Drosophila melanogaster: one gene and its partners. The protein of the gene in region 2 interacts with the protein of the main gene of each other region in a pairwise test. Each region holds a gene or a part of one and is shown on either strand. Other genes may lie near its edges. The genes, in order: CG32987, CG12355, Wwox and CG10063.

Evidence for each region.
Region 1: the proteins of CG12355 (region 2) and CG32987 interact in a two-hybrid assay, tested with the Drosophila melanogaster proteins (one large-scale study listed by BioGRID).
Region 3: the proteins of CG12355 (region 2) and Wwox interact in a two-hybrid assay, tested with the Drosophila melanogaster proteins (one large-scale study listed by BioGRID).
Region 4: the proteins of CG12355 (region 2) and CG10063 interact in a two-hybrid assay, tested with the Drosophila melanogaster proteins (one large-scale study listed by BioGRID).

The regions. Positions count from the first base shown.
Region 1 is NT_033779.5:8,861,455-8,865,486, forward strand, and holds CG32987 (uncharacterized protein), read left to right. Parts: upstream 1-2,356; 5' UTR 2,357-2,400; coding exon 2,401-3,174; 3' UTR 3,175-3,393; downstream 3,394-4,032. Other genes in the region: CG32986 (uncharacterized protein), read left to right, coding at 1,353-2,225; CG32988 (uncharacterized protein), read left to right, coding at 3,450-4,032.
Region 2 is NT_037436.4:15,492,240-15,497,650, reverse strand, and holds CG12355 (uncharacterized protein), read left to right. Parts: upstream 1-2,101; 5' UTR 2,102-2,412; intron 2,413-2,646; exon of another isoform or gene 2,647-2,748; 5' UTR 2,749-2,759; coding exon 2,760-2,891; intron 2,892-2,992; coding exon 2,993-3,084; intron 3,085-3,373; exon of another isoform or gene 3,374-3,711; intron 3,712-4,069; coding exon 4,070-4,182; intron 4,183-4,320; coding exon 4,321-4,598; 3' UTR 4,599-4,687; downstream 4,688-5,411. Other genes in the region: CG13455 (uncharacterized protein), read right to left, coding at 1-308, 377-936.
Region 3 is NT_033779.5:7,998,942-8,006,653, reverse strand, and holds Wwox (WW domain containing oxidoreductase), read left to right. Parts: upstream 1-2,367; 5' UTR 2,368-2,465; coding exon 2,466-2,557; intron 2,558-2,619; coding exon 2,620-3,129; intron 3,130-3,190; coding exon 3,191-3,370; intron 3,371-6,220; coding exon 6,221-6,350; intron 6,351-6,417; coding exon 6,418-6,546; intron 6,547-6,621; coding exon 6,622-6,810; 3' UTR 6,811-6,984; downstream 6,985-7,712. Other genes in the region: Spn28Dc (serpin 28Dc), read left to right, coding at 1-222, 1,094-2,003; Sirup (Starvation-upregulated protein), read right to left, coding at 7,104-7,405, 7,487-7,541. UniProt on the Drosophila melanogaster protein: Putative oxidoreductase. May control genotoxic stress-induced cell death. May play a role in TGFB1 signaling and TGFB1-mediated cell death. May also play a role in tumor necrosis factor (TNF)-mediated cell death. May play a role in Wnt signaling.
Region 4 is NT_037436.4:6,970,442-6,974,428, reverse strand, and holds CG10063 (uncharacterized protein), read left to right. Parts: upstream 1-1,961; 5' UTR 1,962-2,070; coding exon 2,071-2,137; intron 2,138-2,199; coding exon 2,200-2,771; 3' UTR 2,772-2,850; downstream 2,851-3,987. Other genes in the region: Galphai (G protein alpha subunit i), read left to right, coding at 1-427, 497-591, 651-839, 896-1,086; CG9953 (uncharacterized protein), read right to left, coding at 2,876-3,003, 3,076-3,547, 3,610-3,748, 3,810-3,987.

The DNA of each region.
Region 1 (4,032 bases), on a different chromosome or scaffold from region 2:
GGCTCCCGAACATTTTCGTGTTCGCATGCAAAATCCCAAATGAAGTTAGGGCCGGGAAAAGTCGACGGGGGAAATGCCGTTAGTTTGTCCGGGGCTGTCTGAGGTGGGGTTAGGATGGTGATGTGGATTGTAATGGCCTGGTCCACTGCATACGCTCGCATGTCGTTGTTGTCAAGCACTTGCCAACGCTTTCACTTTCCTCCCGACCTCTCGTCGTTGGCCCTTTCATCGTTGTCAGCGTTGTGTGGGTGGAAAATATAAGCCGAAAATGTTATACCATGGTACATTGACCTGCCCTGAAGGGGCCATTGTAGAATAGTAAATAGTCCATATATATGTATGTGGCCCAAGGCCGAAATCTGCAAGAGAAAGATCAATAAACAAGTCGTATGAGTTATTTTAAATTAGTTGCTCTTTTTAGCTTTAAAAATGTTTTATAAATTTGCAGAGAAAATAGAATCTAATCCTAATACTGACATCCGCTACTTGATTTTCAATTTCCGAAAGGTATTCACTTTTTACCAACTCAATAATCCAATCATGAGGAGCAGGCGAGCTAACGACTTGATTGGCAACTCAAGGGTTATACTCCTTCGACTGCAAGCGTATCTATTGCATTGAGCTGCAGCTGCCAGATAACTGACATTCTCCCCGATCGCCTGCTGCCTTGGCATTTGCATGTCTTTAGCGGGGATCAAGGATAAGCGTAGCCAGCTGATTGAGATTGAGTCATAGCCGGAACAATGCCGTCCAACCGTCAACCATCAAGCATCAACCGTCTGTGAAAGTGATTGTGATCGAGGCCGCAGATGCGGCAGTAAACACATCTCGGGATCGCCTTTCTACTCCAGTGTATCCTTGTATCCTTTGCTTTGCGTGTCACTCAAGCGATCAGCAAAACAACAACAAACAATGCAGGCAGGGGAAAGGAGTAAGCATCCTTTGTGGCTGTTTTGTTAGCTTTGATCGGAGCTACTTAGCATTTTCCTTGCAGGCTTTGTAGTCCCCTTGGAATTCCGCATGCCTCGCTGAGTTTTCCGCCCTGATCGAACGGAATAATACTGCTTAGATTTATAAAATGTTAAATATTTATGCATGCCATCGCATTCGGTAAGTCACCGTAATTATCTCTTCCGCGAATCTTAATCTTAGGATAATTGTTATATATATACGGTGTATATAAATATTTCCAGTTCTTAAATCAGATTTACAGGCTATGTATTATTTTGGCTATTAGTAATTTTTAGTAGTATTAGTATTGTTTATGTTTTTAGGGATGTCTTCGTACCCAATCAGGGTGTGCCATAAATATTTTGTCAAAATTTTAAGTGGTTGCCCTCTAAGTGCTCCCAATGTTAGGAGGCAGTTTAAGAAATGACTGGGTCATCTATCCACCAGCCCTCCAGCTTCTCAACTTTCCTTTGCCACAGCAGCAAGAGCAGGCTCCTGGAACTTTGGTTCGATACGAGCATCCTTCGATACACCAGCTTCGCTTAGCACCCCGTAGATTAAGGGCACGACGTTCGGTTGTGGAAGGCGAAGGCTCCAGAGGACTGGACAACGGAAATGGCGACTCGTCGAAAATAATATTTGTGCGGCGCTGCTACATGATGGCTGGATTGTTTTCGACTACAACTGCGATCCTTGCCATAATCCTGTCCAAGGTAATTCCTCCGGAGGCAGATCTTATAATGGCAGGATTCATAAGTGCAATGGTGTCCCTAATGTTTCTCTTTGTCTTCTGTATTTTGACCAAGTTGCGGAGTTTTTATTGGTATAGTTTCATCATGGCCGGGTTGTTTGTAAGTCTGGCAGGTTTGGGCGTTATTCTGCTTCTCCTGGAGCGGAACCTTTCCCGCGTGTGCATTGCCCTTCTGGTGGCCTCCGCCATGACTGTGATATGCTATTTCGCTGGCGCATGGATACCCAAGATCATCCTCCCCGGAGAGAGGACCATGTTCCTCCTGCTCGTCATTTTCGTGATGTCCTCAATCTTTGTGATGACCATGTATATCTTCACAGACAATTGGATCTACCAGTTGGTGTACTTCACGTTATTGGCCACTTTGCTAATACCCGCATCCGTTTACCATGCTCAGGTGGTTCATTCCAGGCGATTCCAGCTGCCCGATTACGAATTCGTTATTTGCGCCGTCAACATCTATCTGCACTTTCTGTTGTTCTTTGCGGCCTTTTACTTTGTCATCTGGGCTCCCAAATGGTGAGAGTTATAGGAGTTAATTTAACGTGTCCGTGTAAAATAAAAAGAAGGCTTTAATGAGAAAAGATACCAATTTGTAAATAAAAGATATAGAAGGTGAGCAGCTTTGCCAGGAGGTAAGTGTCAGGGTGCAGGCCAGACCTAGTCTTAACACTCGGTCCATAAGGATTTTTAACGGGATGGACAACATTTACCACCAGGACAACATCCGGCCGACGATCGAGCAGCTGGACCCAATGACCCAGTTCATCCGCAGCATCTATAACATTGGCCTGATCCTTATCGGAATTACGGTGGGCGCATGGATTCTGCTCATGCTGACCCATATTCACCTGCAGAGGTACCTTCCGTTTCCCTGCTACGTCCTGGCTCTAATAATTTTTCTGGTGATGATATGCATGCATTGTATCCCGAGAATATCCTACTACTCTCCCTGTAAGTGGTTCATGACAGGTCTGGTGGTTGTGTGTACCACCTTGTTTGGCTGCCATTTCATCCACGACTTGAGCCCGCTCATTATCAGTTTCGTGATGATCGGCGTGGCCCTGATCATTATGTTACTCAACTTCTCTGGGGCCATGTGCCCGCAGGAGTTCCTGCCCGGCGGTGTTTGCTCCACGCTGCTGATGATGGCACTGCTGTTGGTCTTGACCATTGTGGGAATCGTCCAGCTCTGCACCGGGAGTGTTGAGCTGCTCGACACCTTCGTCAGCATTCTGTTCCTGATGCTGATCATAGCGATCCCCATTCAGGCGCAGTTCAACCATGGCCGTCTGAACGTCGTGGAAGTGGTTCCCGAAGAGCACCTCATGGTCTGCACCCTGACTTTATACTTGCATTCAATGATGTTCTTCTTCTGCGTGTGCTACTTCATCCTGGTCGACGAGAGAAAGGAGGCCATCAGACAAACATCTGAAGCTCCGAAAATTTCACTCGAAAATGATTTTGATTGAGAGAAATAGCTGTCACTGTGTGATCGAAACTGATTAGCGATCTGGCAAGTTACTATGGTGTTCCAGACCAAAGGATACTGTCATCCAGTCTAATTACTTAGTGCGGTGTAGCCTAGGCGGTACAGAAAATATAAATATATTCTCATTGCAAGGCAATTAGAATAAAGCCAGAGTATTATGAAAAGTCCTAGTCTCAATATAAGAGAAAATGAATCACTTACTTTGCTTTTTTCTTCAAAATTACATTATATTGACCTAAAATAATTGATTAACACATGAATAATCGCAATCGGGGTTGGGGTCGTTATGGCCTTAGAACCGGAAGACCTGGTGGCGAGCCAGTTCCTGCGGAGGGACCGGAGGTCTTAGTCATCAACGAGCGGGAGTTGCGGGCCTTCATCTTCCGGGTGTACCTATCCTCCGTAGTGCTGTGCCTGCTGTCTTCCATTTCGTGGATCATACTGTCGGCACTCGCTGTGAGGGTCTACAAGGCAATTCCAGTGCCGCCGTTCGTTTGGCTGATATTAGCTTTCATCATTCTCTCAGTGCTCGGCTGCATCGCACAGACTCCAGCATTGACCTTGTTATGCTGGGGATTGGTGCTGGGATCCTTGTTCTTTCTCACCCTGTTCGGAGCGTATTATATGCATCTAGTGCGCGTCTGGGTCCTTTTGATTGCCATTTTGGTTGCCGGATCCCTGCTGGCCCTGCTGCATTTGTATGGGGCCAAAAGTCCGGAGGTTCTGCTACCCAACATTATCTGTACTTGCTGCATTTTTCTGCTGCTCACCGTCACCATGATCGTCCTGCTAATACTCTTCCTGATCATCAATGATATGCGGTATCTCCTGGCACTTG
Region 2 (5,411 bases):
CCGGAGAAATGGGCGACTTCTCCGCATGACAACACTCATCGATGACCACCTGGGCATGGAATATACACTCGCTAGCCTGACCGAGTGTATTCTTTAGATTGAAGATTTGCTGTTTCTTCTTCAACTGCATTTGAATATAGCGAGTGCACAGCATCTCGAAACGGCGCTGTTCACTCCGGTACTCATCGAATAGCTCGTCGTATTTGGAGTGCAGCTGCTCCGTTTTGCTTTGAAGTACCTTGAGAGCCTTTTCCCTCTTGGCTAACTGCCGACGACTTTGGCGATGGGACACGGAGAGCTCAACGTAACTGAAAATGCGCCAGAATACTTAGTGCCTACATATGTATACCCTTTTCTAATATTGTTGAAAACTTACCGCTGTTGCATCAGCAGTGGACTGATGGAGTCGTACAGCTCACCAATGGAGTTCACATGGGAGCCACTGGGGCCCCTCTTCTCCGGATCGCTCTCACTCGAACTGGAGCTATCGATTCCCCGGAGCAACTGCACCAGTCGCTCGTTTCGCTTCCTTTCCGTGTCCAGTGAAAACACCAGTTCCTGAACCCGTTCTGTCTGCCGATCGAGGGCCATTCGGAGCTTGAACTCCTGCTGCCGATCCTCGTGAATTGTGTGCTCCAGTTCATTCACTAGTCGCAGTATCTGTTGGACGGTCTGCTGGTAGGGATTGGGCTCCTGGTTTTTGTTCAGGCTGGCATCAGTTGAGGCCAGATGATTTTCGCCCAGTGATATGGGCTCGTCCTCTTCGTCCTCCGAGGGAAGTAAGAGACTGGAAACGGGATCCAAATTTGAATTATTTGAAGACGAGCTCGACGTGGAGCTAAGAGGGGCCAGGGGACGACCCAAGTCGCTCTTTCTCGTGACGGTTCCGAAGCCAAGACCGTTGCTCACACTCCTCAGAAGGGTGCTCAGGTTCATCCTTGGTCCTTTCCCACCTCGTGTCGCTGTCGTCGTCGATGTCTCCGTCTTGTCACCTGACTGTAAAAGTACTCAGGTGTGTGCTGCGCTGTGTGCTCGGCTTGTTTGTCACTAAATGACTGCCTACTTGTGCTCGGTACACTACAATAAATAAATATAAAAACAGATACTTTTAGATGCTTTTAAGATATTAGCTTTTTTGTAGAATTGATTCTCTATCAATGTTTAGACTTCTAATTAAACAGCAGGAAGTCAAAAAGTTGTGGTTTCTATTATGAATATAGCAATATTTACTACAATTTAAACAAATTAAATTATGTAAATTTCTTCTTATTGGTTTCTGAAGCTTTTCTTAGATTTTTCCGAGTATACCAACAGCTATCCGAAAGTTGCTGCCTTCCGGGCTCACTTTCCATATGGTATCGCACAACTTTTTAAATTGCTTTCAGTTTTAACACCTTTGCCTTCAGTTTTCCCGGCACTCAATCAAAGTTGTCGTTACTCCGCCACCGATTTCATTCCCTCGCATATGTTCTGAAGGCTTTTCCCGACTTTTCCCAACTGCCTTCACAGCTTTCCTCTGGTGTTTGTTAGTCGTGCGTAAATTGCCATTAGCCAAAAAGGGTTGCCAAGACTTGATACACTTATTGCATTTTTATGGGCCAAACTTTTGTTGTTTTTTCCTCAGTTTTTCCATTTTTTGGTTTTGCTGACATAGAGAGTTGCATGTATCCTTGATTAAGAGCGATACATACGTATTGTAAACTTGATTGAGGCAATTTTGCAATCGGTAAAGATTGTGGAGAATACTCGAGAGTTGCCTTTACGTCATGGGTTTCAGTAAAATCCTTGATGATGTTTTTGCACCAAGTAAAAAAATTTATTGTAGTAAATTGCAGCATATTAACTAGATTTAACTAGATATACAAAGGTTATAGTATCGCTGCTATTGACAATTAATTATACGAGGTTCACTTAATTTTCCGACTGCTACTATGACAGCTACCGGATATAATAATCCGATTTTATAGTTTATATATTTCATAATTTATAATAAAATATGAATATTCGTTCTTTTAATCCAGACTGAACCGCTTTTTGAAAGGAAGTGGAAAATATTTTGTACAATGGTTGCTTTTGAGTTTGTAAGAGTTTATAAAAAACTAATAGTCGCCGTAAAATTCGTCAAATCAACCCAAATATAAATCCTAATCAAAAATGAAATATTTTTTTTTGGATATGCTTATTTCACATCTTTAAATCCATTCAGCGATTTCAATGGAGTGTTGGAAGACTCAGCCGCAGCTCTTATCTGGGTTCCTTGGATGCCCATCATCACAATTTCCTGATAGTTTCTATTTTTTAACATTGTTTCGAGCTTGTTAAGCAATTCCCATTATTCAATGGCCTACCAAATTATTTTAAAATTACACTTCCTTAAATTTCGTTGATGAATTATTATTAAAAATGCTGGAAGTAAGTAATAGAATTAAATCTAATCTGTGAAGACTGATAAGGCCGTCTAAGATATCGCTTAGGTAACTGCATTTGTAAGCTTTTATTAAACAAGAAAGATTTACTCCACGCTCTTGTTTGCATTCAAAAAACGTAAACATTTTTATTTTCTCTTAGCTGCCCGTCTTTCTCTTTTGGCTCTCTTCTTTTCACTTATTGTCTTTTGTAACAGCTGAGCCATCGCTTGGAATTTTCCTCAGTAAAGCTCCGTTAGCGCTGGCGGCTGGCCGCTTCCAAAAAAAATTCATTAGAAAGTTGTCACAAAAAATTTGTTATTAATATTAATCAAAATTCAAGCAATTAAGATAATGGCTCGGTTAATTTCGGGAGTTCGCAATTTGTTCCATCGATATCCATTCGTCACCAACAGCGCCATCTATGGGAGCCTTTATGTGGGCGCCGAGTATTCCCAGCAATTCGCATCCAAACGCTGGTTGGCCGTAAGTAAAATCATTTACAGACACTCATGTGCAGAATATGAGCTTGGAGATATATCCGAGGGCGATCTGGCGATTTCTAATCCTATTTATGTGCCCCGTAGACGGCGAGCAAACCTGAGGATATCGATTATGCAACAATAGGAAGATATGCCGTGATGGGTACTGCAGTATATGCCCCAACACTTTACCTTTGGTTCGTGCCCTCAGTTTTATGAATCTGTACATACATAGCCACATTTTATTATTACTTGCACATGTACACAGTGATGGTCGACATAGTAGCTCTGCTTTTTTGTTTGATTTCTAATACAATCTGTTTATCATGAAATCTATAACTTTTCATTATAATTTCTTATTTCTAAATTTCTGATTTTATGTTATGACTAAAAAACGACACTTTAGAGCAAAAACAGTCAACTTAAAATATTAGTATATAAATCGGAGCTATTACGTTGGCCGAGGCTGTTCATACTAACACATCTGTGGACCATTCAATTTACTCACACTTACATGCTTGCCATTTAACCATTCTTTTTATTTCCTCAATTTGCTTCGCCGTACGCTTCTGTTGTTGTTTTTGACTTTTATCAATTTGTTTACGATTCCGGTAAAGCTCCATGAGCACGTGTCGCAAGTCAAGAGCATGTCTCTCCGCCATTTTTATCACTTTCTCTTCACACTTTCTCTTTAGAAGCACCCACGCCACCAGAGCACCAAGCTTTTCCTCTTTAATTGAGTGAGAGGGAAAAGCTGCCCAGAAAAGCACGCAACGCACTGAGAAATTGGGCATATTTGCACGACATAAAAGTCAAAATGCAACGTAAGTTTGGGAAGTTGGAAGTTGGCTACTGGGGATCTGGATTCGAAAAACAAAACTTACAAAAGAAAACAAGATGCACACAAGGATATACAAACATAGGGAATAAAGATCTCGGAATATTATAAATACATATCACAAACACATACACAATGTATGAAACACTTACACATAAATAAATACTAACACCATAAATTGATTACAAATATGCAAACACACTATATAAAGTAACTCCAAAAGCACTATATATACACCAAAAAAAGATCTTGCTTACCTAGCCTGCTTTAGCTTTTACTTTGATGTCTTAAATATAATCAAGCATATATATCAAGCATAATAATTCAAATAATCAATTTCCTAGGTACAAATGGTTAGATCGCGCTTTTCCTGGCACCACTAAGGTTATCATAGTTAAAAAATTAGTGCTTGATCAGTTTGTACTAACGCCTTATCTATTGACTGTGTTTTATGCAGGTAAGTTCCACTGATACACTCAAATGTAAAGATTAATTAATGTATATTAAATTAATAATACATTTTCATGTTTATTTTTGTACGCTTAACACATGTTCTCTGTTATTTGACAATTAACAAACTAATTTCTATTTCCAGGCATGTCCATCATGGAGGGCTCTGCGGATATTTTCCTGGAACTCCGCGAAAAATTCGTGCCGACTTTTATGCGTTCCTGCATTTTCTGGTTGCCCGCGCAGGCCTTGAACTTTTCCCTGGTTGCACCCCGATTCCGTGTCATCTATATGGGTATTTGTGGATTGATTTGGGTGAATATTCTATGTTGGACCAAGCGGCAAAGTCTTCCAGTCGCAACGAAAGAAATTGCAACTGATTCAAATAATAATGCAGCTGCCATAAGGAATTCCGAAACATGAGATTTGAATATACACCATACACCATAACCATGTATATAGTCCTAGATAGTTTTTGACCATGCATTGCCAAATAAAGGAGAAGCAAATAGTGTGGTAGACTTATTTATTTAACCTGATTGCAAAGCGTTCGTATACAGTGCGTATGATTGATGTTCCCATAAACGGAAACTCATCAATTACTACTTACCCTCTATTCATCTATTTCTGTGAGTGCGAGCTTGTGTGTGTGTGTGTGTGTCTGCTGTTTATCAGCGTGTGTAAGCGCGTTAAATTGTGTGCGTGTGTGCGTAAATGTTTCCATCAACATTTGCCACACTCAAACAATAAAGAACTATCCTGCGTATCCCGCTGGACTCCGTGCACTGAACTCCCTAAACCAAAATTTATGTGACATATAACAAAAAATTCAATTTTTTAAAATTATCCCTGTTTTTGGTTCAAACATAACCAGGTGCGCTTCGTCACTACGTGCACTGCTATCCATAGTAGTAATCAGGTTTCGTCACTTATAAGAGCTTTTGTATGTTTAAGTGGGTTTTGCCTTAACATTTACATTAGATATTGTTCCCTAATTTATGTCTCTTGTTCAATGGCAGCTATCCGTGGCTAAATGCATTGTAATTCCCCGATCGCATTAACTTTTTGCCTAATTATTGCTCATCTCTACCATCTCGGCCGACTGATGCCCATGACCCCTGACCCACGAGCTTACGGAGCACCCAGCAAAACTAATTAGACGTGGCGTGTTTCGGCTGCCAACTCCCTTCGATATCCGCCCCATGTTAATGCGTTGAGTGTGTGCGTCTGTTTAAC
Region 3 (7,712 bases), on a different chromosome or scaffold from region 2:
TATTCCGGACACGTCCAGGCTGCACGAACAGTTCGGCCTGATGCTGCAGGATCTGCAACAGCCCACCAGGGAGGCGATCTCCGCAGGACGACCGCTGACCGATTGGCGGGCGAGCAGCGCGATGAGATCCAATCGACGGGCCCAGCGACCCGGTGCTCATGAGGTGCACCTGGCCAATGGACTGTTCACACAGACCGGCTACACACTCAATCCCGACTACAGGTGAGCCGAGCAGCGGATAATTATCCGGCTGCAAACTGGAACTATAGCGATATCTGGTTGGGAATGGGTGCTGGGAAATGCCAAACGATTAGCGATCGCCTTGAGGTTTTACACCGTGAAAAACTGAAGGCCATGCGGGCTAAAGTGATCTCCTTTTCTGAATGCCAAGTGAGGGAAACAGGTTCATTGTACCAGCAAAATGATCTCACCCATTATCATCAAGCGTTTAGTGTCTCTTGATGGTGGTGCTCCAAAAGGAAGTATTTATTTTATATTCGAAGATAATATACAACGAGAAAATATTAGAATATATTTTTCTGTGTAGAAATGAGCGTGTAATTCCACTTATATTTATGAATCTTTAAAGCCCAAGCTTTCATTGAGAAATATATATGTACGTACGTACGTATAAAGTTTAGAATATAAATGGGAACCATTGACAAACAAATTTAGTAAGAACTTTTAGTGCGATTGTTTTTATGTAGAGAACTTGAATAAAATTAAATCGGAATTGGAATTGGAATTATCAGTTAATCAAATATTTAATTAGAAACCTTAGGTCAAATAGTAGGTACAATGAATTGCCAAAAATTTGGCAAATAAAAAGCACTGATAAGAATGGATTAACTTAAAAACATAACTAAGACATTTAATTATTTATTTATTCTTCAATTATAGCTGATCAAACATTGCAAAAAAAGCGGAAAAAAACTACTTTCCCAAGTTATTATTTAGCTCACCAGATATTGCAATTCCAACCCATCCCCAGTTCCCCAATACTATCGCTCCACTTTGCACAACGTTGTTGGCATACTAATAGCTGCGCCTTGTTGATTTATTACTCATGAGCTCCACTTTTGTGCAATTCCAGACGGGTGATCGTCGAGGTCTACGCCTCGGATCTGCAGATTCAGGATTTCGAGGGCAGTCCGGCGACAGCACGATACAATATCAATGCTTATGTGGCGCAGCACACAAAGAATCACATCGAGAACATCATCGCCAGCGATATTCCGCAGACCACCAGGATGATTCTGGCCAACGCATTGTACTTTAAGGCATTCTGGGAAACGGACTTTATAGAGTCAGCCACACGTCCGGATAACTTCTATCCGAATGGCGAGGGAACGGAGCCGGTGATGAGGGTGCAGATGATGGCCACCGGTGGTGCATATCCGTATCACGAGGATCACGAGCTGGGCTGCAAGATCATTGGACTGCCGTACAGGGGAAATCTGAGCACCATGTACATCATCCAGCCGTTTAAGTCGTCGGTGAGGGAGCTAATGGCACTGCAGAAACGTCTGACGGCGGATAAGATCGAGAGCATGATCAGCCGAATGTACAGACGGGCCGCTCTGGTGGCATTCCCAAAGATGCATCTTACGGAGTCGGTGAACTTGAAGACAGTCATGCAGCGAATGGGGCTGGGCGGCATCTTTAGCGCGGTGCAGAATGATCTCTCGCTCATCGCCACCAACGAGGCCACGAGGACGAATGCGCTGGGCGGCAACAGCCTGCAGAATCTGGAGGCACAGCGCAGAGCCGGAACGGGTGGAGCACGTTCCGATCTGGTGGTGGATGACATTGTTCACAAAGTGGACTTCACCGTCAACGAGCAGGGCACGGAGGCGGCGGCGTCTTCGGTCACATACCTCAAGAAATCCGGTCCCGATGTCCTCTTCCGCGGAGACACTCCATTCATGGTCCTTGTGCGCCACGATCCCACGAAACTGGTGCTCTTCTACGGACTCATAAATGAGCCCCCGGCGGCCGCTTAGTTTCTAGGATCATAAGTTATTAAGCTTTAGCACCTAAGTTCGTTGACTTTATAGTTAGGAAACTAATAAATCATTCACAATGATGAAAAATAAATTAAAACGTAAATTATGAAAATTTGTATTGGTTTTTGTTGCTGTTGAATCTTTTCACATTATCCTATGTACCGTACAGCAGGCAGATTAAACAATGCCCACAAATGTTCAAGGCGCTAAGTTTCTACAAATCATTTAAATTTAAAAAACAACCGCCAATCAACCGGTTGCGGTTAAAAGCTCTGTTAAACGGAGATGCTGATTATTAGCGGGTAACATGTTTCGTTTAACGGAACAGCTGTTCATTTAGTCGGCAGTTATCGCTTAAGCCGCATGTTATCGATATCTTCAATTATTTTGTATTCTTTTTCGCAATAAAAAGTGTATACTTTAGAAATAAAGCTTTAAATAAGTTTAAATTGATTCGAAATGATAGCCCTACCCGACACAGATAGCGAGGATGAGCTGCCACCCGGCTGGGAGGAACGTGCCACCGATGACGGCACCGTTTGCTATGTGAAGTAAGTCAAAAGTCCAGTGGAGTCGTAAACATTGTCTGATATTTTTTAATTGCACCATTTAGCCAGCAGGGAAAAACATCACAGTGGACACATCCACGTACGGGTCGCTCCAAACGGATCACGGGCGAATTACCCTTGGGCTGGGAGAAGTACTACGATGAGCAGGGAAAGCGTTTCATGTTCCTCAACAAGGAGACGCAGCAACGAACGAATGTGGATCCTCGTTTGGCATTCGCCGTGGAGGAGCCCACACAGAATGTGGCCCAGGTGCGCCAGCGATTTGACTCCTGTTCGACGGCACTGCAGGTGCTGCACGGCAAGGATTTGCATGGACGCACCGCGCTGATAACGGGCGCAAATTGTGGCATTGGCTACGAGACGGCTCGTTCGCTCGCCCATCACGGCTGTGAGATCATCTTCGCCTGCCGGAACAGATCCTCCGCAGAGGCGGCCATCGAAAGGATTGCCCAGGAGCGACCTGCAGCACGTTCCCGCTGTCGATTCGCCGCTCTCGACTTGAGCTCTTTGCGTTCAGTTCAGCGATTTGTGGAAGAAATTAAGCAGAGTGTTAGGTCAGTAGCATAGCTTTCAAAATCTAATATTATTTAATTGATAATTATATTTATATTGCAGCCACATTGATTATCTCATCCTTAATGCCGGAGTATTCGCACTGCCCTACACGAGGACCGTGGATGGTCTGGAGACCACATTCCAGGTCTCGCACCTGTCGCATTTCTACCTCACATTGCAACTGGAGACACTGTTTGACTACAAAACACGGATCATTGTGCTGTCATCCGAGTCGCACAGGTAAGTGTGAATTTGAGCACTTTAGCACGTAATTAGGGAGGGAGGGGGTAATAGAGTATACCAGTTACGAAATAATTCATATATATTCTTATGGTGTGTATAAAAGGTTACAAACTAACCGCTGAACTTAAGTTTTATATTTCGTATGAAATATCAATAGATCAATCTTAAAAATTAAGTATTCAAAAGATATATGTTAAAAAAGGTTACATGGGAAATACAAAATCAACTGGTTATATTTCGCACTATCAGTAAGGGAATTAAAAAGTTATTTACAATTCGATCGTATTGTTTCTTGTATCAATTTTACTATCAGTCACTGTCTCAATAGAAAATCGTCTCTACTTAAGTTAAATAAAATACATCGAAGCTTCAAAATATATAAATTGATGTATTATATATAATTTCTTAAACCTATTTTCTTGAATCAATTTGGCTTATTTCTTTCCTAATTAAATTTCTCAATGTCAGCACTGTTAATCTCGTTTTAATAATTATTATTTTTTTGTTTCTGTTTTTGGCCGGCAAACAGTTGTCATTATTGCAACCTGTTTGTGTGCAAAATGATTATTATCAAAATCACACGGGTATTTTAATTGAAGCTGAATTTGGTGCATGTCACATTCTAAAAATATATATATTTAATATATTTTTAATAAGGAATAAAATAAAATTATATACTTTATGTTTTAACTATCTTAATAACTTTACAATATTAATTTAATTTATTTAATGTAGTTATAAATTCAATAGCTATTTCGTATTCGACACCATCAGTTTTAAATGTGTGTCTGCCATTTCGAGTTGCCTTCTTTTATTTTTGCAAGTTGATTGCACTTTTATGATTCCGCATAGTGGACTTTGCACCCAGCGTTTTCTTTTTTTTCGCACTTTGGGGCCAAACTATTCATAGACCAAACCAGAAATAAATGCATTCCGCCTCAGCCATGCCGTCTAGTGTAATGTTTTCCAAAATGTTTGCCTATTTGCCTCAGATTTGTTTGCGTAAGATGTTTTCCGTTTGATTCGATTTCAAGGCGAAACGTAATTGAACTCAGCTTGGCATATATGAGTATATATTATTCATAGGCTTCGTTTACATATTGTGCTGCGCACTCAGAGGCAAACAAAGAAACACATAAATATAAACAATTACGAGGCCAACGCAGCTGGGTTTTTGTATTATCAAAACCAAAAACGTGCGTACAATAGAGCAATATGATCGAACTCACGTGCAGCTGTAAGCACAGTGGAGTAGAGAGCTCTGAAAATATGATTGTAATCTTTCTTTAAAAAATATCTATGAGATAAATTAACTAAACTGAAGAAAGTATTTTTGTTTTTCTTTTAAAACTAAAACACATTCAGATTAGCTACGCATATAAATCCAAGCAGAGTACTTTTTTTGTAAGATAAACTTTGAATGTTCAAAACTAGCATGCTTTAAATAGATACTATAAATGTAAAAAGTGCCCCTATAATTTTCCTTATCAGCGCTAACTCGCTTAATTAGATTGATTCATTTGTGGCCGCTCGAATGGCTCACTGTGCATGCTGTCAAAGACCAAATAAATCACTGGGTGAGCGAATCTCGTGAAGAGGCACAATACCAATTCAAACTGAACTGGATGTACATATGTATGTACATACATACTGGCTATTGGAGGTGGTTTTGTATCTGCTGCGTTCGTTGCTGTGCTCACGTACAACATTTTTTGGCTTCGCGGAGCATACATGACTATCTGCGAGTACTCCAATGTGGCGCACGAGACTTTTGTTGCACGTTCACACGGGCGAGAAAAAGATATGAATGTTGGTATGGAAGTTCGACTGGTTATCATTTTCAAACATTAAAGATTACTTACAATTAGTTATTCTTGCATCAGCTCACAAAAATTGGGTTATTCATTGTTGCATAGATAAAATATTTTTATTTAAGGTTTCTCTTTTTCAAATAATTATATTTTTGCGTGGGAAAAGTTGTCCAGACATTAAACAATTATTAATTCAATTAGAGTCTTAAGGTAAAGCAACGAGTTATTGTTCTAAAATTAAATGCCATTCAGCAGCAATTTATCTGTCTGTAGAACCTAATTAATTTACATGCAAACAGTCGAAAAGAACGCTTTTTTGCTTACCTACCACAACAAGATACAAATATACATATATAAAAAAAGAAAAAAAATGGAACGCCAACGGGTTTCATTTGTCATGGATGCCAATGGATACCCATACTTATAAATAACACTGAATTTGCATACATTTTGCGACGTTATATTTACATCGCCCCCAAGCCGAGCGCAGATATTCAATAAAATGAAAACAAATCCAAAGTCCAGAAATGTGCGCGCAGATATGTGTTTGTGTATAGAAATGTTTTCATGTTGCGGCATTCGTGGATTCGCAGGAAATGTGCGACTTGCGCATGCGCTACTGCCGAGGATTCCAGAGGCTTCCGCCGAAAACTGGAGATACATAGATACATAGATAGATAGATAGATAGATAGATAGATACATAGATAGATAGTTCGCCATAGAGTTCACTATGCATATCAGAGGGTCCTTGTTCGATTGTGGGGCTTTGTTCCGCCGGCCCCACTTGTTGACTCACGCCATTGTTCGTGGGGAGCCTTTGTGCGCCCTGCACTGCGCTAATTCTGCATCTCATTAATAAAGAGCGCTTAAAGCCGGCTATGCCAGCCGGCAATGGCAATCAAGACTCGTTTCGCGATTGTCGGCCGGCGGGGCCAAAGTCCAGTGAGTTCACTTGGACGAGAAATGTTCATGTGGGTCTCATGTACCGACAAAGAAATGCGTCGCAAATAATCTTAGTTACTAACTAACATGCAGATTTGCCAACCTGCCCGTGGAGAATCTGGCAGTGCATCACCTTTCGCCGCCGCCGGAGAAATACTGGAGCATGATGGCCTACAACAATGCCAAGCTATGCAATGTCTTGTTCGCCCAGGAGCTCGCCCAGGTGAGTCCTTAAATTGGGTCAATTGAATTCCACTTGCCAACCCTTTTTTTTTGTTTTTTTGTTGCAGCGTTGGAAGCAGCGAGGCATTTCTGTTTTTAGCCTGCATCCGGGCAATATGGTGTCCAGCGATTTGTCACGAAACTATTGGTTCTACCGCCTGCTCTTTGCCATTGTGCGTCCCTTCACCAAGTCGCTGGTGAGTTTGGCAATGAGAAGAACTCTCTGTTTTCCCTTAACTTTCACTAATTGCTTTCTGTGCCCCATATGGCAGCAACAAGCGGCTGCCACGAGTATCTACTGTGCGACGGCCAACGAGCTGACCGGATTGTCTGGACTGTACTTCAACAATTGCTTCTTCTGCGAGCCCAGCAAGTTGTCCAAAAGTGCTGCACTGCAGCAGCAACTGTGGAAGCTGAGCGAGAACCTGATTGCCGAGCTTGTGGAGCAGGAGCAGCATTAGCCAAGTCATTTGGCTACTGTTTTTTAAATATATTTATGCATTATGCTACCACCAATGATTCCATTAGGTATAATTTTACATTTTAAACCAGCTATTCATTACAAAGATATATTTTGAATTCTTTAATAGTTTCTGCCCAATAAGTGCAATGCAAATAAACTTTTGTACGTTAAGAATATCATGTATTTTCTTTTTACACTAAACAAGTATACATTTTGATTTGTTTTTAAGTCTTAATGGCTAGCATTTAAATAACAGTCTAAGTACTAGTTAAGGAACTCTTCATTTGGGCACTAGAAATCGGAGACGCGTCCCTTGCGCTCCCAGTCGCCGTAGCGTGTGGGCTCCGGCCCGGCTGGTCCGCCGATCTCGCCCGTATACGGATTGGTCTGATTGGGCCAGGGCTTGAGTGGTTCCTTCTCCTGGTACGGATGTCGCGAGAATTCATCCAGCTTGCCCAGCGGCGTTTTAGCGCGCAGCTTCTTCTGGAAGGCCATTAGCTTCTCGGTGCGCGTCTTTGGTTCCTTGATCTCGACCACCATGTCGCCACCGCTGGCGGTTGCCCGCCAAGCGCCACTCGTCGATAGATAGCTCACTGTTAATGAAAAATTGAAAGAACGTTAGCATCGCCACTCCAGCACAGTGCGCACACACACACACACACACACACACACACCTTGTTTGCCCATTTGGGGCAGGACTCGCGCCGTTTGTCTGGTCACGGATTGCATTTTGTTTTTTGTTTGGATTTCCTTTATCGGTTATGCAAGATGATGCCGGCGAATCTTCGTTTTTGTTCGCTTCTTAGTCGCAGTTACACTTTGTGTGTTTACTCAAAAGTCTCACTTTCGGCTGGGAGTCAATGTCACTTGCTTGTTGCTTCGCGTCTGAATTGCAATCTG
Region 4 (3,987 bases), 8.5 Mb from region 2:
TCATCCATGACACGGGCTACTCGCAGGAGGAATGCGAGGAGTATCGTCGCGTCGTCTTCAGCAACACGGTGCAGAGTCTAATGGTGATCATCCGCGCAATGGGACGCCTGAAGATCGAGTTTGCCGATCCGAGCCGAACGGACATTGCCCGCCAGTTCTTCACACACGCCTCTGCCGCCGACGAGGGCATCCTGCTGCCCGAGATCGTGCTCCTGATGAAGAAACTCTGGGCAGACGGTGGCGTACAGCAGAGCTTCGCCCGATCGCGCGAATATCAGTTGAATGACTCGGCGGGATACTATCTAAATTCGCTGGATAGGATCGCGCAACCGAACTACATACCCACGCAGCAGGATGTGCTACGCACGCGGGTGAAGACCACTGGCATCATCGAGACACACTTCTCCTGCAAGCAGCTGCACTTCAAGTGAGTTGTCATTAATTGCCCACTTCCGGTTGATTCGATTCTAATGGTTATGTTTTTTTTTCGCCACAGACTTTTCGATGTGGGTGGCCAGCGATCGGAGCGCAAAAAGTGGATTCATTGCTTCGAGGGCGTTACGGCCATAATCTTCTGCGTCGCGCTATCAGGTAAGTCAAATATTCTACGAATCTTAGGAATCTAATGCAATTGTTATATATTTCGCTAGGTTACGATCTAGTATTGGCCGAGGACGAAGAGATGAATCGTATGATTGAGTCCCTGAAGCTGTTCGATTCCATCTGCAACTCCAAGTGGTTTGTGGAAACATCCATAATACTGTTCCTCAACAAGAAGGATCTGTTTGAGGAGAAGATCAAGAGATCTCCGCTGACGATATGCTTCCCAGAGTACACAGGTAAGATAAGAGTGTAGAAAACGATTACATTTTTGTTTAACTTGATATACTTTTAGGAACCAACACCTTCGAGGAGGCGGCCAACTACATTCGCATGAAGTTCGAAAACCTGAACAAGCGAAAAGACCAAAAGGAGATATACACGCATCTCACCTGCGCCACGGATACGAACAACGTGAAGTTCGTCTTCGATGCCGTCACCGATGTGATCATCAAGAACAATCTGAAACAAATTGGCTTATTCTGAGAGGGCGGCGGAGCACAAGATCATCATTATTTAGCTGGCGTCGTAGTATTAAAGGAAAACGCGCATAAACATTTCCATTAAACGCTAAGAACTCGATACATTTACGCTCGTACGATCCATATATGTTTTAAATGCGTTACATGCTTGACACACGTAATTTTAATAACCGATTTGGTTGCCAGTAGTCGCGGAACAAATAACCTAACCAGCTGCAATTTAGTTAACCGTGTCCATTAAATTGCACCCATAAGCTAACTAATTTAAACATTAGCCTAACCACACAAATGTAAAGTTCGACAAAGGACAGCCGGTGGGTTTTGTACATCCTAAAACCTCAACCCGATCGGCTCCCTTTGGAATTTAGTTAAGTTTCGCGGGCTAATGGCGGTGACCAAGGGGAGCACCACATCCAGAAATCCCCAGAGGTGTCTCCTTGGGCGCAAGCCATTTTCCGGACGTTTATTCTTTGCCAAGAGCTTGACAGCGTTATTTAAGGTGAACCTAAGGCCTGGAGTTGTAAGCCCTAAAATGTAACTAGTAAACTTACTAATATGTTTAGTAATAGCCTAAATAAAAGACAATTTATACAAAATAACCATTCGTACTTGAATGCTGCCAATGCTGCTTATTATTTCATGTGCGCTTACAGAGCTGACAACTTAGTAAAATAAATATTAGGATCCTTAAATTATGTTGATCATTGCTCAGTTAGTTTAGTGTATATTCCAATTTAGAGCTATAGCTTGTGCCTATTTTCATAAATATATTAGAAACAGTAATTTTGTTTTAGGTTTAGCTTTTTTGAACTTAGCGTTCTTTCCCAAAAAAAATGGGATTTTCTTCGGAAAGAGTTGCAACTCTGGCTGATGATTGTCAAGTTGGCCTTGCCGCATTCTGCTTTTTGTCAGGCATTTTGGATTAATTCGTTTGTTGAAATTGTCAATTGCTTCAGTGAAGAATTTTTAATCTGCTTAAACTTGGAAAATGATTCGCGCCATGGTAATGACCAAATGGAGTAAGTCGGTGGCGGGACCACTGGTCACAGCGTGGAGTAAGTGAAGCAGGCACGTGTTTTTTTCTTAGCAAACTTTAACGCCTTTTCCCACCATAAAGACTACTCCACATTGAATCGCCTCAATGGCAATACTGTGCGCCCGCGTGCTCTGTTCCTGAATCTCGACCGCAAGTTCTCCGCCGAAGGTGGCGGCGATGAGAAGCCCAAGAACGTGCCGCCTGGATTTGCGGCTCCAGGGTTTCCATCCACCTTGGGCAATAACCCAGAGAACACCACGCGTAAGGATGTGCCCATTGGCGAGGTGCAGGCGCCAACTATTTCCGTAGTGAACGCAGGCGGTAAACTGGGCAGAGCTGAGCCACTGGAGGCCAGCACCATCGTGCGCAGCAAGGGCACTTCGAACGAGGACAAGATGACCGAGGCGCAGAAGAAGGCATCGGAGGCCAAGGAGGCGGCCGCCAAGCAGTTGCAGGATGTCATGGCCAACTTGCCTAGCAAGGAGCAGACCGAAAAGTATTTCTTTCGCGTGGTTGCCTTCTTCTATGACTTGACCTACCTAACCGCCACCTGGTTGCTCAACTTTGTCGAGCACAATATCGTTCAAAATGCCAAGGTGCAGCACTACTGGAAGCGATTCCACGAAAAAATGGAGCAGGCCAAGAAGGATTAACTCCCAGCGGAGCCGAAAAATATATTATAAAACTCATGCGAAAGCAAAAAATAAAACAACTCGCTGACGAGTACAAAATTACACTTGACTTGGCCACTTTTCCATCAGATTAACGCCGAGGTGTAGCCATCCAGTAGTTTGGCCAAGAATTTGAGTATCTTGTTGCGAGCGGCCACCAGTTGTGGCGGATCGGTTTTCACCGGCTCATACATATTGGCGCAGTGAGCGGTTCCTAAAAAAAAAAACACAATAAATGCTTACATTACCCAAGTTATATGTGAAAAATGTGTTGGTAAGCACATACCTTCTATGTAAATGGTAGGAAGTGCTGCGTTCGTGGACTTGACCAAGCCCAAAGCATGCCAGGGATCAATGGAACCGTGCACGTACAACACATTTGTGGTCTTTGGCTTTAGGGCGCCATAGTTATCATTTGTGGCGGACACCACCAGTTTGAGGAACTTGGCGTTCATATTCTTGGAGAACACATCCATGCACTGGCGTATAAAGAAGTCGACACCGAAGCGATCACCAAATGTGTCAGCCGGGTTATCCGAGGTCTGATAGAAGCCGAATTCGTGGCAGGTCTGATATGTCCACTGGCGCATTCCCTTGGCCGTCTCCGAGTCCCAGGAAACGTTCTTCATGTCCGCCACCATCTTGTCGTACTTGTAGTCCAGGCAGGTGGTGTTCGATTCCTTCAATAGCATATCGTTGACCAGGCCCAAACGGGTCACAGGTGGACCAGCCGTGGTGTTTAGCATGACATCGCAGATCTATGGAGTTCAAACATTCTTAGTATGGACTTGATAGGGATCAAAGTGAGGATGAAACACACGTCGTCAATGGTGATGGTGGCATGGGGACTGTTGTCCTTGTTGTATTGCACCACTCCAGCAAAGTTGCCAGCCAGATTCTCAAAGAAATTGGCCATGTCCAGGTCGTTTTCAATGGAGTCCTTGATGGGAGTGCATGTTCTGAGTATAAAATGGTTTACAAAATTAAAATTTGTGCAGGACGATAGCCTAATCCACTCACTTGAACTTCTCGTCCAGGCTGCGTTGTCCAATCATGTGCTTGAGTAGAATCTCCACTTGCGCAAAGCTGCGGGTCACGGCGTCCACGCATTCGGGCTTGTAGGCAGCTAGAGAGGCTTTGACCACCTCGAAATACTCCTTGAAGTCAACCTCAGCCAGCAGAGGACCACTGGAGCTAA